2 linked regions of the Oryctolagus cuniculus genome follow. The main gene of each other region encodes a partner of the protein of the gene in region 2 in a complex. Links are inferred from orthologs where the notes say so. Each region holds a gene or a part of one and is shown on either strand. Other genes may lie near its edges.

Region 1 (7,258 bases), on a different chromosome or scaffold from region 2:
TGGTACAAATCCTTGGCCCTTTGCACCCACATGGGAGACTCGGAAGAAGCTCCTGGCTCCTGGCTTCAGATCAGTTCAGCTCCGACCATTGTGGGCATTTGGGGAGTGAACCAGTGGATGGAAGATTCTCTCTCTTTGACTCTGTCTCTCTGTAACCACCTTTCAAATACATAAAATAAATATTTAGGGCTGGTATTGTGGCATAGCTGGTAACGCCACTGCCTGAAGTGCCAGCATACCAAATGGGTACCGGTTCAAGTCCTGGCTGCTCCACTTCTGATCCAGCTCTCCACTATGGTCTGGGAAAGCAGTAGAAGATGGCCCAAGGCCTTGGGCCTCTACACCCACGTGGGAGACCCAGAAGCAGCTCCTGGCTCCTGGCTTCAGATCGGCACAGCTCCAGCCATTGTGGCCATCTGGGGAGTGAACCAGTGGATGGAAGACCTCTCTCTCTCTGCCTCTCCTCTCTCCCTGTGTAACTCTGACTTTCAAATAAATAAATCTTAAAAACTGCATGCTGAAAAAATAATTTGTGTTTGCTCTCATAATAAATGCCAAACTCATCCCCACGGTCAGATGTAAGCCCTGGCCAGCTCCGCTGCCAGCAGCCTCGTTTGGCGCCATTTTCCAGGTCTCTCCCCGCCGTCCTGCCGCGCCTGCTTTCCCTCTGCTCCTTCACGGCTTCTGCACCTCTGCCGAGTGTGCCTGCCCATCATGGCCAACACGGAAGTTGTCCCCCTCCTGTTGACTTCCCCCCGAGCAGCATCATTTTAATGTGCTCCCCACGTCTCCCCTTCTAGAATGTAAGCTCCTGTAGGCAGAACCCGTTGCTCAACATCTCCCCAACATTCAGAACAGAACCTGGCTTAAAGAGTGAGGGGGCGGAGCCGGTGTTGTGGTGTAGCAGCACCCTGCCATGTCGGCATCCCACATGGGTGTGCGTTCAAGTCCCTACTGCTCCATTTCTGATCACGCTCCCTGCTAATGTGCCTAGGGAAACAGCTGAAGATGACCCAAGTTCCTGGGCCCCTGTCCCCATGTGGGAGACTCTGATGAAGCTCCTGGTTCCCGGCTTCGGCCTGGCCCAGCCCCGGCTGTTGTGGCCATTTGGGGAGTGAACCAATGGATGGAAGATCTCTGTATCTCTCCCTCTCTCTCTGTAACTCTGCCTTTCATTTTTTTTATTTTATTTTATTTTATTTTTTTTATTTTTTGACAGGCAGAGTGGACAGTGAGAGAGAGAGAGAGACAGAGAGAAAGGTCTTCCTTTTGCCGTTGATTCACCCTCCAATGGCCGCCGCGGCTGGCGCGCAGCGGCCGGCGCACCGCGCTGATCCGATGGCAGGAGCCAGGAGCCAGGTGCTTTTCCTGGTCTCCCATGGGGTGCAGGGCCCAAGCACCTGGGCCATCCTCCACTGCACTCCCTGGCCACAGCAGAGGGCTGGCCTGGAAGAGGGGCAACCGGGACAGAATCCGGCGCCCCAACCGGGACTAGAACCCGGTGTGCCGGCGCCGCTAGGCGGAGGATTAGCCTAGTGAGCCGCGGCGCCGGCCAACTCTGCCTTTCAAATAAATAAATATCTTTTAAAAAGTGAGGGGGATCCTCAAAAAATGTATGGAATATGTATATTATGAAAAATATATAAATATATGAATTTTTGTAAGGCCCAGCACAATGGCGTAGGTTCATATCCCAGCGGCTCCACTTCTGACCCAGCTCCCTGCTAATGCTCCTGGAAAAACAGCAGGGGACGGCCCAAGTGCTTGGGCCCCTGCATCCATGTGAGAGACCCAGAAGAAATTCCTGGCCTTCAGATCAGCCCAGCTCCAGCTATCGCAGCATCCGAGGAGTGAATCAGCCAATGGAATATCTAGCTTGTTTTCTGTCTCTTTTGTTCCCTCTCTATATAACTCTGCCATTCAAATAAATAAATAAATATTTTTTAAGATTATTTATTTATTTATTTGAAGGGCAGAGTTACAGAGAGAGAGAGAGAGAGAGAGCGATATCTTCCATCTGCTGGTTCACTCCCCAAATGGCCGCAATAGCTGGAATTGGGCCAATCAGGAGCCAGGAGCCAGGAACTTCTTCTGGGTCTCCCACATGGGTGCAGGGGCCCAAGCACTTGGGCGCTCCTCTGCTGCTTTCTTTCCAGGAGCATTAGCAGGGAGCTGGGTCAGAAGAGGAGCAGCCAGGACTCAAACCGGTGCCCGTAAGAGATGCTGACGCTGCAGGCAGAGACTTAGCATACTACACCACAGTGCTGGCCTCAAATAAATAAACTTATTTTTTAAGATTTATTTTATTTATTTGAAAGACAGAGTTACACAGAGAGGTAGAGACAGAGAGAGAGGTCTTCCGTCTGCTGGTTCACTCCCCAGATGGCCGCAATGGCTGGAGCTGCACCGATCTGAAGCCAGGAGCTTCTTCTGGGTTTCCCACGTGGGTGCAGGGGGGCCGTTTTCTACTGCTTTCCCAGGCCATAGCAGAGAGCTGGATTGGAAGTGGAACAGCCAGGACTAGAATCAACACCCATATGGGATGCTGGCGCTTCAGGCCAGGGCTTTAACCCACTGTGCCACAGCACTGGTCCCCCAAATAAGTAAATTTTTTTTTTTTTTAAAAAAGGGGCTGGCGCTGTGGTGCAGCAGGTTAAAGCCCTGGCCTGCAGCTCCAGCACCCCATATGGGCGCCAGTTCAAGTCCTGGCTGCTTCACTTCTGATCCAACTCCTTGCTGTGGCCTGGGAAAGCAATAGAAGATGGCCCAGGTCCTTGGGCCCCTGCACCCATGTGGGAGACCTGGAAGAAACTCCTGGCTTTGGATCAGCTCAGCTCTGGCTGCTGCGGTCATTTGGGGAGTGAGCCAGCGGATGGAAGACCTCTCTAACTCTTTCAAATAAATAAAATAAATCTTAAAAAAAAAGAAAAGAAAAAAAGGAAAGAAGGAAGGAAGAGAAGAGTACAGTAGAGTGGGGGGAAATATTTTTAAAAATTCATAGAATATGTGCATTATGAAAAAAATTTAATTTTTTTAATTGCACCAAAAACACCCTTATATTTTAACTCCACTTCCCATTAACTTGCTGAAATATCCTTGTATTCACTGGGCAGGCACTGTATGAGGGGTTCAAGTAGTCGGATCCGTGACACTCATGGGGGGGGACCTGGATAGAATTCCTGGCCCCCAGCTTTGGCCTGGACCAGCCCTGACTATTTCTGTCATTTGAGGAGTAAAACAGCAGATGGAAGCTCTGTCTGTCTCTCTGCCTCTCAAATTAATTAATTAATTACAAGTTCATGAAAAAGTCTCACAAAAAAACCTATGTATGGACTTCAAACATTTCTGCACGAGGACAGGGATGAGGGCGCAGTGGGCCAACTGGCGGGAGTCCTGCCTCAAGTCCCAGCTGCTCTGCTTCTGATCCAGCCGGGAAGGCAGTGCTGGGCCCTTGTTGCCCCTGTGGGGACCTGAGGGATGAAGGTCCCGGATCCTGGCCCTGGCCTGGCCTGGCCTAGACCTGGGAGAAGTTGTGGCCATTTGCAGAGCGAACCAGTGGGTGCAATCTCTCAATCTCTCTCTCTCTGCCTTTCAGTAAACGACAAAGACTTTAAAGTCTACATTATCGTCGCATTAAAGATCCACCTCCAAGCTGCTCCCTCCCATTCCCTGTCTGCGATCCCATCTCTAGGCAGAGGGTGGGGCCTGGGTGGGACCCCCGCACTCCCGCACATTAGCTGTGACCTGATGGCCTGTGGGGCGACAAGGGGGGCCCCTAAAGGCCGCTTTGCCGACGACTCCCTTGCAACCCTCCCATCGCGCGGCAGCCCCGCAGGTGTCGGGTCCGGCCCCCCTTACCCATAGCGAACTCCACCAGGGTCTCGTTCTCCTCCGACAGCGAGTCCAGGAACAAATCCGGGACCTGAAGCTGCCGCAGGTACTGGAAGTTGCTGGGGTCATAGGCGAAGTTGGCCAGGTTGGCGAGGACCTGCTCCTTGGCGTCTGCAACGGGAAAGCGACCCTGGAGCCGGTCCCGGGCGGCGGCCCCGCGCCGGCCCACCCGCGGCCTCCCCTCGGCTCGCGGCGCCCACCCGCGGCCCTCCCCTCGGCCCCCGCGCCGGCGCCCACCCGCGACCCTCCCCTCGGCTCGCGCCGGCCCACCCGCGGCCTCCCCTCGGCTCTCGGCGCCCACCCGCGGCCCTCCCCTCGGCTCTCGGCGCCCACCCGCGGCCTCCCCTCGGCTCTCCCCTCGGCGCCCACCCGCGGCCCTCCCCTCGGCTCGCGGCCCTCCCCTCAGCTCTCCCCTCGGCTCGCGGCGGCGCCCACCCGCGGCCTCCCCTCGGCTCTCCCCTCGGCTCGCGGCGGCGCCCACCCGCGGCTCTCCCCTCGGCGCCCACCCGCGGCTCTCCCCTCGGCTCGCGGCGCCCACCCGCGCCCTCCCCTCGGCTCTCCCCTCGGCTCGCGGCGGCGCCCACCCGCGGCTCTCACCTTTGCTCGCGGTCTCCTGGAATTCCGTGACGAGCGCCTGCAGGTATCCCAGCCGCCCGACGTGGGGGTCCACCTTGGGCTTCTGGGCCATGGCGGGGCGGCCGAGCGCTCCTGGGCCCGGTGGGACAAGGGCAGAAGGCAGCCTGGACAGCCGCGTGAGACCCTCACCGCAGCGGCCGGGGGGCTCAGGTCCTGCGAGAATCCGCAGCTCGAAACGGCAAGTGGGAGGCGGGACCCTCAGGATCCTGTCAGAGTCCCGGCCGGAAGCCGCGCTAGTCCCGCCCCCGGAGGGCGGAAGGGGCGGGGCGGGGAGAGACGGGGCGGGGCGAGGCGAGAAGGGGCGGGGCCGTCACGGAGCTCTTCGGCTCGCGTGCGCAATGAGCTCCGGGCCCGCGGGGACGCGCGCGGCAGACAGGTGCGCGGTCGGGTATGCGGCGAGGAGCCGGGGCGACCCAGGAGTGCCGCAGAATCTGGGGGTGCCCACATAGGGGGCTGTCGAGGCAGACGCACACTCCCCACACCCGCTGGCGGTCGCAGCCCAGCCTTCTCCCCTAGACGTCCCCCTGGAGCCTCAGCGTCGGCTCCCTGCGACCCTTCAGGATTTCAAGTCCGGCCGACTCCGCTCTGACCCCATTGGGGCCCTCCACCTCTGACCCGAAGTCCCGAGGACTGGGGTCCTGCCCTAAGCCTCTGACAGCTGGGTTGTCCCGGGCAGCACCGGAGGGCCCTGGAAGGAGCCTCAGCTCGCCCCTGTGGACCGCTGCAGCTTTCTGCGTTGTTGGGCCCGGGATCCTGAAGCCCTTTGGTCTGACTCCTCGGAGCTTCTCAGGAGAGAACAGCACCAGGAAAGGAGGCCTTGCCACATCCCCATGGTGCTTGGAGCTGTGAGCTCCTGGGGCCAAGGAATGTGGCTGCATCCCTGGGCCAAGTACAGCTGCGGTGGACGCAGGCTGCAGCCCTGCCCTATGCACACCTTCTTCTTCTTTAAAGGTTTATTTTATTTATTTGAAAGACAGAGTTAGAGAGAGAGGTAGAGACAGAGAGAGAGAGAGGTCTTCCATCTGCTGGTTCACTCCCCAGATGGCCGCAACGGCCGGAGCTGTGCCGATCCGAAGCCAGGAGCCAGGAGTTTCTTCTGGGTCTCCCGTGTGGGTGCAGGGGCCTAGGGACTTGGGCCATCTTCCTCTGCTTTCCCAGGCACATTAGCAGGGAGCTGGGTTGGAAGTGGAGGAGCTGGGACACGAACCGGCACCCACATGGGATGCCGACACTATAGGCCGTGGATTTAACCAGTTGTGCCACAGCGCCATTCTGACCTTGGCCTTGGTGCTTGGGTACCATAGCTGCCCTTTGTCCTTTGACTCTGTGGGGATCCTGGATGGCCTGGGAAAGTGTGTCTTAGCCAGGGGACTTCCCGCCTGTTGCTGGACAGAGCAGCGAAGGCCTGGGGACCAGGAGCCTGGGGCTTGAGGGCACACGGAGGTGAGCTCCTCCCTTCTCTGGCCAGGAACTGCTTTCCCAGGAAAACACCCGCAGGTTTTGGTGCCCGATGGGCAACCCAGCCTCCCCCAGTGTCTGGTCTTATCCCTTCCTAAGGCCTCAGGGCCTGCTTGGAGAACTCCCAATCCTTGGTTTTGTGCAGAACTTGCTGCCCCTCTCTGCCCAGTGCCTGGCGCACGGTGGTGCTTCGTAAGTGTGTGTGGGAGGGGTTCTGCCTGGGGGTTATTGCCAATCCTTCCTGGGGGCAGGCGAGCGTCTCGCTTTCTGTGCTGAGTGCTCACTCCCCTGTTTTGTGGAAGTGGCACAGGGCTGCACACCTCATCAAAGCCTGGTGCACACCAGCACCAAATGCACCTGCCTGCCGCCCCTGCTCGCTCCCTTCCCACCAGTCCAGGTGCAGAGACCCTGGGGAGATGTGTCCAAGCGGTCTTGTTGAGAGCACAAGCTATGCCTGTGGCCAAGCACAGGAATGAACGGGGAGCCCGAAGGTGTGGCTTCAATACACTCAAATCCAGACTCTCCAGACTGGAAGAGGCTTAACTCTCCAGGTTAACTCCTTCCCTTTCCAAGGCCCAGAGATGGTGACCGTTTGCCTGAAGTCACACAGCGTATCTTGGCACAAAAGTGAAATCCCACCTCTATCCCAGCCGTCTTTGGCTTTGCCTCTGCACTGCCTCCTTTGGCCATTAGGGGGCACTCATGGCAGAGTCCTGGAGTTGGCTCGCGGACCATTCCCAAGGATGCTTATTCACGCTAGAGCACACGTGATGGAGGCAGGCTGAGGCTGGGTCATGAAAATAAAATCAATCCTCCTGATAACATTTTCTTGCTGGAGCCTGGTTGAGCCTGAGTCAACAAACAAGGGCCTGAGCCCGGGCAGCCCCTGCCAGGTTGGGAGAAAGAGGAGGGGGCTCTCACGCCAGGCCTGCCTTCCAGCTGTATTAGCTCGGAGTTGATGACTGGCTGCAGGGAATGGTCGTGTGTGCAATTCAAACACACTGTGTTTTCCCATTCCCCCGGCTCCCTGCTGGGACAAGCCTGGGCTGACGGCAGCCGGCGCTCAGGGGGGTGGCGACCTCAGGGAAGGGCGCCAGCAACGTGTTTGTGGCGGGGAGGGCTCTGCCCTCCAGGGCACAGTGCAGGGAGCAGGGGTGGCCAGGCAGCTGGCCCAGCCAGCTGCTCAGCCTGGGGTTCACCCCTCTGACACAGCAGGGGCGGAGGGGCGGAGGGGCGGAGGGGGCGGGAGTCTGTTGGAGAAGCAGCCCTGTCT
Region 2 (7,258 bases):
GGTGGAGAGACTTCGGCCAGCGATACCTGGGCCCTGGTTGGTCACCCTCCCTCCCCAGCCAGGTGCCGGCAAGCAGGGGCAAAGGTCTTCCCCAACCAGTGACTGAGCGGGAGCCTCCTGGGGACCCGTGGACAGGTGCAGGGAGGCCCAGCTGGCCAGCTTAAGTGGCTGCACCCCCTGGGGCAGAGCCCTTGGCCCTTTCCTACCACATGTCCAGCTGACCCACCTTGACGGGGGTGTCAGGATCACTCACTCGCTGTACGTCTCCCTCACTCTCTCCCTCTGGGTTGCTCTGCTTTTCAACTATTTACTTACACACACACACACACACACACACACACACACAGGGCGAGGGGACCTGGTGCTGTGGCGCAGTGGGTTAAGCTGCTGCCTGCAACACCACCATCCCATACGGGCACAGGTTCGAGTCCTGGCTGCTCCGCTTCCAATCCAATTCCCTGCCAATGCGCCTGGGAAGGCAGTGCAAGATGGCCCAAGTGCCTGGGCCTCTGCACCTGCGTGGGAGACCTGGATGGAGTTCCTGGCACCTGACTTTGGCCTGGCCCAGCCCTGGCTGCTGTGGCCATTTGGAAGACCTCTCTCTCTCTCTCTCCTCTCTCTCTCTCTCTCTCTCCTCTCTCTTTCGTCTATCACTGTCACTGTCTCCATCTCTCCCTTTTGCTCTGTAACTCTGCCTTTCAAATAAATAAAATAAACCTTAAAAAAAAAAAAAAACAGAATGAGGCTAAAAGGCAGAGCACAGCAAATACACACAGTAAGCAAACACCGCCCATAGGCTGTCAGTACCATGGGTCCCCCCTCCTCATGCAGGGAAGGTGGGGGTGTGCGGGGGGCCCAGAGAGAACCCCCAAGGCCAGACTCACCTCTGCTGTCAGAGTGCACCCGCAAGGGAAAGGCAAACCTTCAAAACCCTTACCTGCAGTGGTCGAAGGGTAAACGGCGGAAATTTGACTGGGGGAGATCTGTTTTGTGGGGAACAAAAGGGGAACACCGGCTGTGTCAAATAGCTCCACTCCGTGTACCTGCCCACAAGCACCGCTGTCTTATGGGAAAAGGAGTGCTCAAGTACTTAGCACCGCCACTGCCGTGGGCACCAAACACAGGGAGGGCGTGGACAGAGGAGGAGCTGGAGAGAGCGTGAAAATTACAACAGGGGCCGGAGCTATGGCGTGGTAGGTTAAGCCGCTGCCTACAGTGCCAGCATCCCATGTGGGCGCCAGTTCAAGTCCTGGCTGCTCCATTTTTTTTTTTTTTTAAAGATTTATTTATTTATTTGAAAGTCAGAATTACACAGGGAGAGGAGAGGCAGAGAGAGAGGTCTTCTGTGCCAATCCAAAGCCAGGAGCCAGGAGCGTCTTCTGGGTCTCCCATGTGGGTGCAGGGGCCCAAGGATCTGGGCCATCTTCTACTGTTTTCCCAGGCCATGGCAGAGAGCTGGACTGGAAGAGGAGCAGCCAGGTCTTGAACCGGCGCCTGTATGGGATGCCAGCACTTCAGGCCAGGGTGTTAACCCATTGCGCCACAGCACCGGTCCTGGCTGCTCTACTTCTGATCCAGCTCTCTGCTGTGGCCTGCGAAAGCACCAGAAGATGACCCAAGTGCATGGGCCCCTGCACCAGTGTCAGAGACCCAGATGAAGCTCCTGGCTTCGGATCAGCCATTGTGGCCATTTGGGGAGTGGGTCAGTGGATGGAAGATCTGTCTGTCTCTCCCTCTGTCTGTAACTCTGACTCTCAAATAAATAATTAAATCTTTTTTTTTTTTTTCTTTTTGACAGGCAGAGTGGACGGTGAGAGAGAGAGACAGAGAGAAAGGTCTTCCTTTTCCATTGGTTCACCCCACAGTGGCCTCTGCAGCCAGTGTGCTGCGGCTGGCGCACGGCGCTGATCCGAAGCCAGGAGCCAGGTGCTTCTCCTGGTCTCCCATGCAGGTGCAGGGCCCAAGCACTTGGGCCACAGCAGAGAGCTGGACTGGAAGAGGAGCAACCGGGACAGAATCCGGAGCCCCGACTGGGACTAGAACCTGGTGTGCTGGCGCTGCAGGTGGAGGATTAGCCTAGTGAGCCGCGGCGCCGGCCAATAACTAGATCTTAAAAAAAAAAAAGAGGGCCAGCACTGTAGTGTAGGGGGTAAAGCTGCCGCCTCCAGTGCCGGCATCCCTTATGGGTGCCAGTTCAAGTCCTGGCTGCTCTTTTGATCCAGCTCTCTGCTATGGCCTAGGAAAGCAGTAGAAGATGGCCCAAACCCTTGGGCCCTTGCACCCACGTGGGAGACCTGGAGGAAGCTCCTGGCTCCTGGCTTCAGATCAGTCCAGCTCCAGCTGTTGCGGCCAATTGGGGAGTGAACCAGCAGATGGAAGACCTCTCTCTCTCTCTCTCTGCCTCTCTCTTTGCCTCTCCTTCTCTCTCTGGTAACTCTGACTTTGAAATAAAAAAAAAAAGAAAAAGAAAAAGAAAAAATGTAGACCAGGGTTCTTTTCACCACAGCCTGGAGCACTTTGGTTATTTTAAGCCATATTTTTAAAAAAATCGCCAGTGGGTGGGGCATCTTTCCTCTTCCGTGAATGGAGTCCTCGGCCCAGCTGTCCTGCACAGACCACGGGCTGCCTGTATAATGGGGCCACCCATCCTCTGTACACCCCTGTCCTCGGGGCAGAGAAGACTCCCATGCCTTACCTGGCTTCTTGCCACCATAGAAGTGAGTGTATTCAGCACAGGTGATGTACCTGAGAGGGGGAGGGGGAGGGGACGGGGAGAGGGAGGGAGAGATATCACTACGCTGCCACTGGCCAGCCAGGGGTGAACACGGCAGACACGGGGCTGCACAAACCCATAAATAAATAAACACAGACGGCCCTGCGCTGCTCAGAAGGAAAGGAGGTGATTCACCCAGGAAGACCTGACACATGAGAGCGGCCGGCACGGGCAGACCTGGGGGAAGAGCCCTCCAGGCAGACACACGGGCGGGGCCCGCAGCCACAGCGGGTACCGATGCCCAAGGCAGGAAGAACAGACAGATGTCGCTGGGGAGCTGCGGGCACCGGCGGGTGGCAGCGGAGGAAGACGGATGGGGAGGGGCCTCGCAGGTCTTCCTCAGTGGGTGGGAGACCACGGAGGGTTCGGAGCCAGGGCCCTGCTAGGCAGGATCTGACATCAGCCGCAAAGCCTCGCCCTGGCTGCTGTGCGTAGGAAGACAGCCAGAGCAGCAGCAGAAAATCCACCAGGAATTGACCACTTCCTCCGGGTCTCCCACGTGGGTGCAGGGGCCCAAGGACTTGGGCCATCTTCTACTGCTTTCCCAGGCCACAACAGAGAGCTGGATGAGAAGAGGAGCAGCCAGGACTCGAACCAGTGCCCATCTGGGATGCCGGCACTGCAGGTGGCAGCTTTACCCACTACGCCACAGCACTGGCCCCCAGCACACATTGCTTTCACACCACGGTAAGGTCGGAAAACCCTGTCTGTGGTGGGCGCTGTGGTGCGGTGAGTGAGGCTGCCACCCGCATACCGTACCAGAGCGCCTGGAATCAGACCCCGCCCCTCTGCTTCTGACCAGCTCCCTGCCAAGGCACCTGGGGGGCGGCAGAGGATGGCTCAAGTCACTTGGGGTCCCTACTACCCACGTGGGAGACCTGCATGGAGTTCCTGGCCCAGCCCTGGCTGTGGGGCACTTGGGGGACTGGACCAGTGCATGGTAGATCTTTCTTTCTCTCCCTGTGTCATTCCGCATTTCACATCAATACAAATATCTTTAAAAAAAAATTTTTTTTAATTCTCAGCCTATCACTGAGACAGGAAGGAGAGAGGCAAACTCCAGGGCTGGGTTCTATTTCCGATGATCAGATTAAAATGCGGTCTGTATCAGACCGCCGAAGCGGAGATGCCGGGCTGAACAGACTGCTTCAAGACCCCCGCCACAGACAGTAACCTGTGAGGCCTGGGAGAAACGGGAGGAGGGGGCCCGGCCGACGAACCCGAGAAAAGGGGAGGCCGCTGAAGTTTGCGGGAAAACCACGCACGCGAGATCGCAGAGGTCAACGCCACGGGCTTGAGAAATGACTGGATGACCCCAAGCTCGGCAACAAGGACTCAAGGCGGGGGACAGGGGCTGTGAAAGCCTGGCCCCAGCGGACTCGAGAGACAGCAGCAGACCGGGGCTCGTCACTCGGAAAAGGCGAAGAAACGCGACGGCGGCCGGGGCTCGCTCGCTTCCAACCCCGGGGGGCCCGAGACGCGGCTGCCGGATCCCCGGGCTACCGCAGGGGCTGGGGGCAGCGGTGTCACTGCCCGGCCTGGGGAGTGGGCAGGGGGCTTCCGGGAGGAGTCCTGGGGACTCGACTCTGCGAGGGAAGAGGAGCGACGCGAAGCCCCGGCCAAGCGCGGGGCCGGGCGCGCAGCGGCGAGCCGCTCCCCCGACGCGGTTCCACGTACATCTTGTCTTTCTGGTGCTGGCGTTTCCCCATGGCGGCGAGCGCGGCGGTGGGGTCTTCGAGCGCGGAAAAGTCACGGCCAGCAACCGCGAGCCCACAGACGCCGCCGAGTAGTCGGGCAGCTACTTCCGGGATCCGCGGGCCCACGCCGGAAGCGGGCGCTTGGCATGCCGGGAACTGTCGGGTTTCCCTGCCGCCGAGTGCGCATGCTCCAACGGGGTCTGGGCGCGGTGTGGTACCTGAGACCCTGGACTGAGGGAGGCCGCGCTAGCTTGAGCCCCCTCTTTCTTGGCGGAGCTGTTCTCTCCTCGCACCGCCCCATTTAGCTGCCTGCTCGCTCGTATCCCATTCCCAGAGTGCATTGTGTCCGACAGCCTCCACGCCCCTCGGCAGCCCAGCGACAGGTGGCCATGGACCGTCGCTTGGTCCCTTCTGTCTCTTCTTGAGCCACTTTGGGTCCAACGCTGGGGCCCCGGGTGACCCTGGCCAGCAGCACTTGCGTCTCGGGACTCGCCAAGCTGAGGTGCCGGCGCTGTGGACTCTCAAACCACTGATCTCGGATTTAACACGCCTGCTGAGAAAGCAGAATTCTTGTCCCGCTGCCTCCTTACTCTCCTGTCTCCTGAACGGACTGCCAGCCACCGGGTCACCCAAATTTTGTAACTGAAGGCCTAGGATTGAGGCAGAACCGGGAGGAGGGGCAGACCAATCTCAACTGCTGAGCTTGCTTTTCAAAGAATGTTCCAGCACTGCCCTGGGAGGGGCCAGACCCTCAGCCTAAGAGGAATCCCATAGTTTGAGTCAGATCTCCATGACCTTACCTGAGCTTCATTCTCATACCGAATCCTCTGCCCATGGGAGGGGTTCGCAGTCATTACGGAAGATGCGAGGCGTGAAAGATGTATGGTACCTACACGTCTGGGCAGGAGGGCCCCCCACTGCCATTTTGCAATATGCTGGACACTCCTGGCTGCACCTGCTCCAAGTTCTTGTCTCCACTCGGTGAAGTAATTGGAGGAACACCCTAAGGGCGTACGGGAAAGCAGGATTTAGGTACTCAGATGGCGAAGAGGCAACCTCTCTTCATGAGAAGGAAGGGTACTGCCCCCGCAAAGCTGGGGTCGCCCCTTTCAGGATATGGGATGATGCCCTAATTAAGCATTTTTTTTTTTTGACAGGCAGAGTGTACAGTGAGAGAGACAGAAAGAAAAGTCTTCCTTTTGCCGCTGGTTCACCCTCCAATGGCCACCACGACCAGCGCGCTGCGGCCGGCGCACCACACTGATCCGATGGCAGGAGCCAGGTACTTATCCTGGTCTCCCATGGGGTGCAGGGCCCAAGCACCTGGGCCATCCTCCACTGCACTCCCTGGCCACAGCAGAGAGCTGGCCTGGAAGAGGAGCAACCGGGACAGAATCCGGCGCCCTGACTGGGACTAGAACCCGGTGTGCCGGCGCCACAAGGCGGAGGATTAGCCTAGTGAGCCGCAGTGCCGGCCCTAATTGAACATTTTTAAAATTTATTTTACTTGAAAGGCAGAGTTACACAGAGAGAAATATCTTCCATTCTCTGGTTCACTCCCCAAATGGCCACAATGGCCAGAGCTGGACCAGACCGAATCTAAGAACCAGGAGCTTCTTCTGGGTCTCCCACATGGGTGCAGGGGCCCAAGCACATGGGTCATCTGCTGCTTTCCCAGACACATCAGCAGGGAGCCGGGTGGGAAGTTGAGCAGTCGGGACTTGAACTGGTGGCCATATGAGATGTCGGCGCTGCCGAGGTGGCTTACCCAGCAATGGCACAACACCGGCCCCCTTGTTGAATATTTAAATGGGGCAGATTTTTGGGAGGGCCTTGAATACCGCTTGCTTCTGTATCCCACCCTGTCTGTTTGTTTTGTGGCATTTCCACCTGTGGCTACAGCATACTGGCGGTCATCACCGCATCCAGTGCGCCATGGCAGGTGAGGCTGAGGGGCCTGATGGGGAGTGGGCGAGCCGGGTCCGCATGGAAGGGGGCGGGGCTTTGCAGTGCTGCTGGTAGTCTCTCGGCTCCTCTTGGCCTCCTAGCTGCTTCCCAGGCTGCCTACCTCACAGGGCTCTCTTTCCGCCACCCACGTGGGAGGCCTGGGTCGTGTGCCCAGCTCCTGGCTCCCGCTCCAGTCCTGGCATCTGGGTAGTGAACCAGCAGATGGGTTCTCTCTCTTTCTCTCTCTCATAAAGAAAAAAATAATTTCAAAAAATGAAAGCAGGGATCTATCTCCACGACTTGGTTTGTTATCTCTAGTCTCAAGCACAGAGGAGAGCAAACACCAGGGCTCGGCAATCAGCTACTAACGCCTAGTAGTCATCCCTGTTTAGGAAGGACGCCCAGCTGTCATACAGGGGGATTCACTGTGTGGGGCCGGCGCCGTGGCTCACTTGGTTAATCCTCCACCTGCGGCGGCCGGCATCCCATATGGGCCCCGGGTTCTGTCCCGGTTGCTCCTCTTCCAGTCCAGCTCTCTGCTGTGGCCTGGGAAGGCAGTGGAGGATGGCCCAAGTGCTTGGGCCCTGCTCCCGCATGGGAGACCAGGAGAAGCACTTGGCTCCTGGCTTCGGATCAGCGCAGCGCCAGCCGTAGTGGCCATTTGGGGAGTGAACCAGTGGAAAGAAGACCTTTCTCTCTGTCTCTCTCACCGTCTATTCTATAACTCTGTCAAATAAAAAAAAAAATCAGTGTGTGAGTTGACATGACAGTAAGAGTCACAGACCTTTGAAATTCCTTAGGGAACTGCTGCGTTGGAACCCAACAGGCCAGATCACTTTGA

Evidence for each region.
Region 1: PPIL2 (region 2) and ARMC7 share a complex: the UniProt entries of both Homo sapiens proteins name them as parts of the minor spliceosome. The link is inferred for Oryctolagus cuniculus from reciprocal best matches to the Homo sapiens genes PPIL2 and ARMC7.

The regions. Positions count from the first base shown.
Region 1 is NC_091448.1:5,402,956-5,410,213, forward strand, and holds the start of ARMC7 (armadillo repeat-containing protein 7), read right to left. Parts: upstream 4,776-7,258; 5' UTR 4,580-4,775; coding exon 4,489-4,579; intron 4,003-4,488; coding exon 3,859-4,002; intron 2,495-3,858; coding exon of another isoform or gene 2,466-2,494; exon of another isoform or gene 1,178-2,465; intron 1-1,177. UniProt on the Homo sapiens protein: As a component of the minor spliceosome, involved in the splicing of U12-type introns in pre-mRNAs.
Region 2 is NC_091452.1:29,124,946-29,132,203, forward strand, and holds the start of PPIL2 (RING-type E3 ubiquitin-protein ligase PPIL2), read right to left. Parts: upstream 4,669-7,258; 5' UTR 4,483-4,668; coding exon 4,451-4,482; intron 2,746-4,450; coding exon 2,696-2,745; intron 984-2,695; coding exon 938-983; intron 1-937. UniProt on the Homo sapiens protein: Has a ubiquitin-protein ligase activity acting as an E3 ubiquitin protein ligase or as an ubiquitin-ubiquitin ligase promoting elongation of ubiquitin chains on substrates.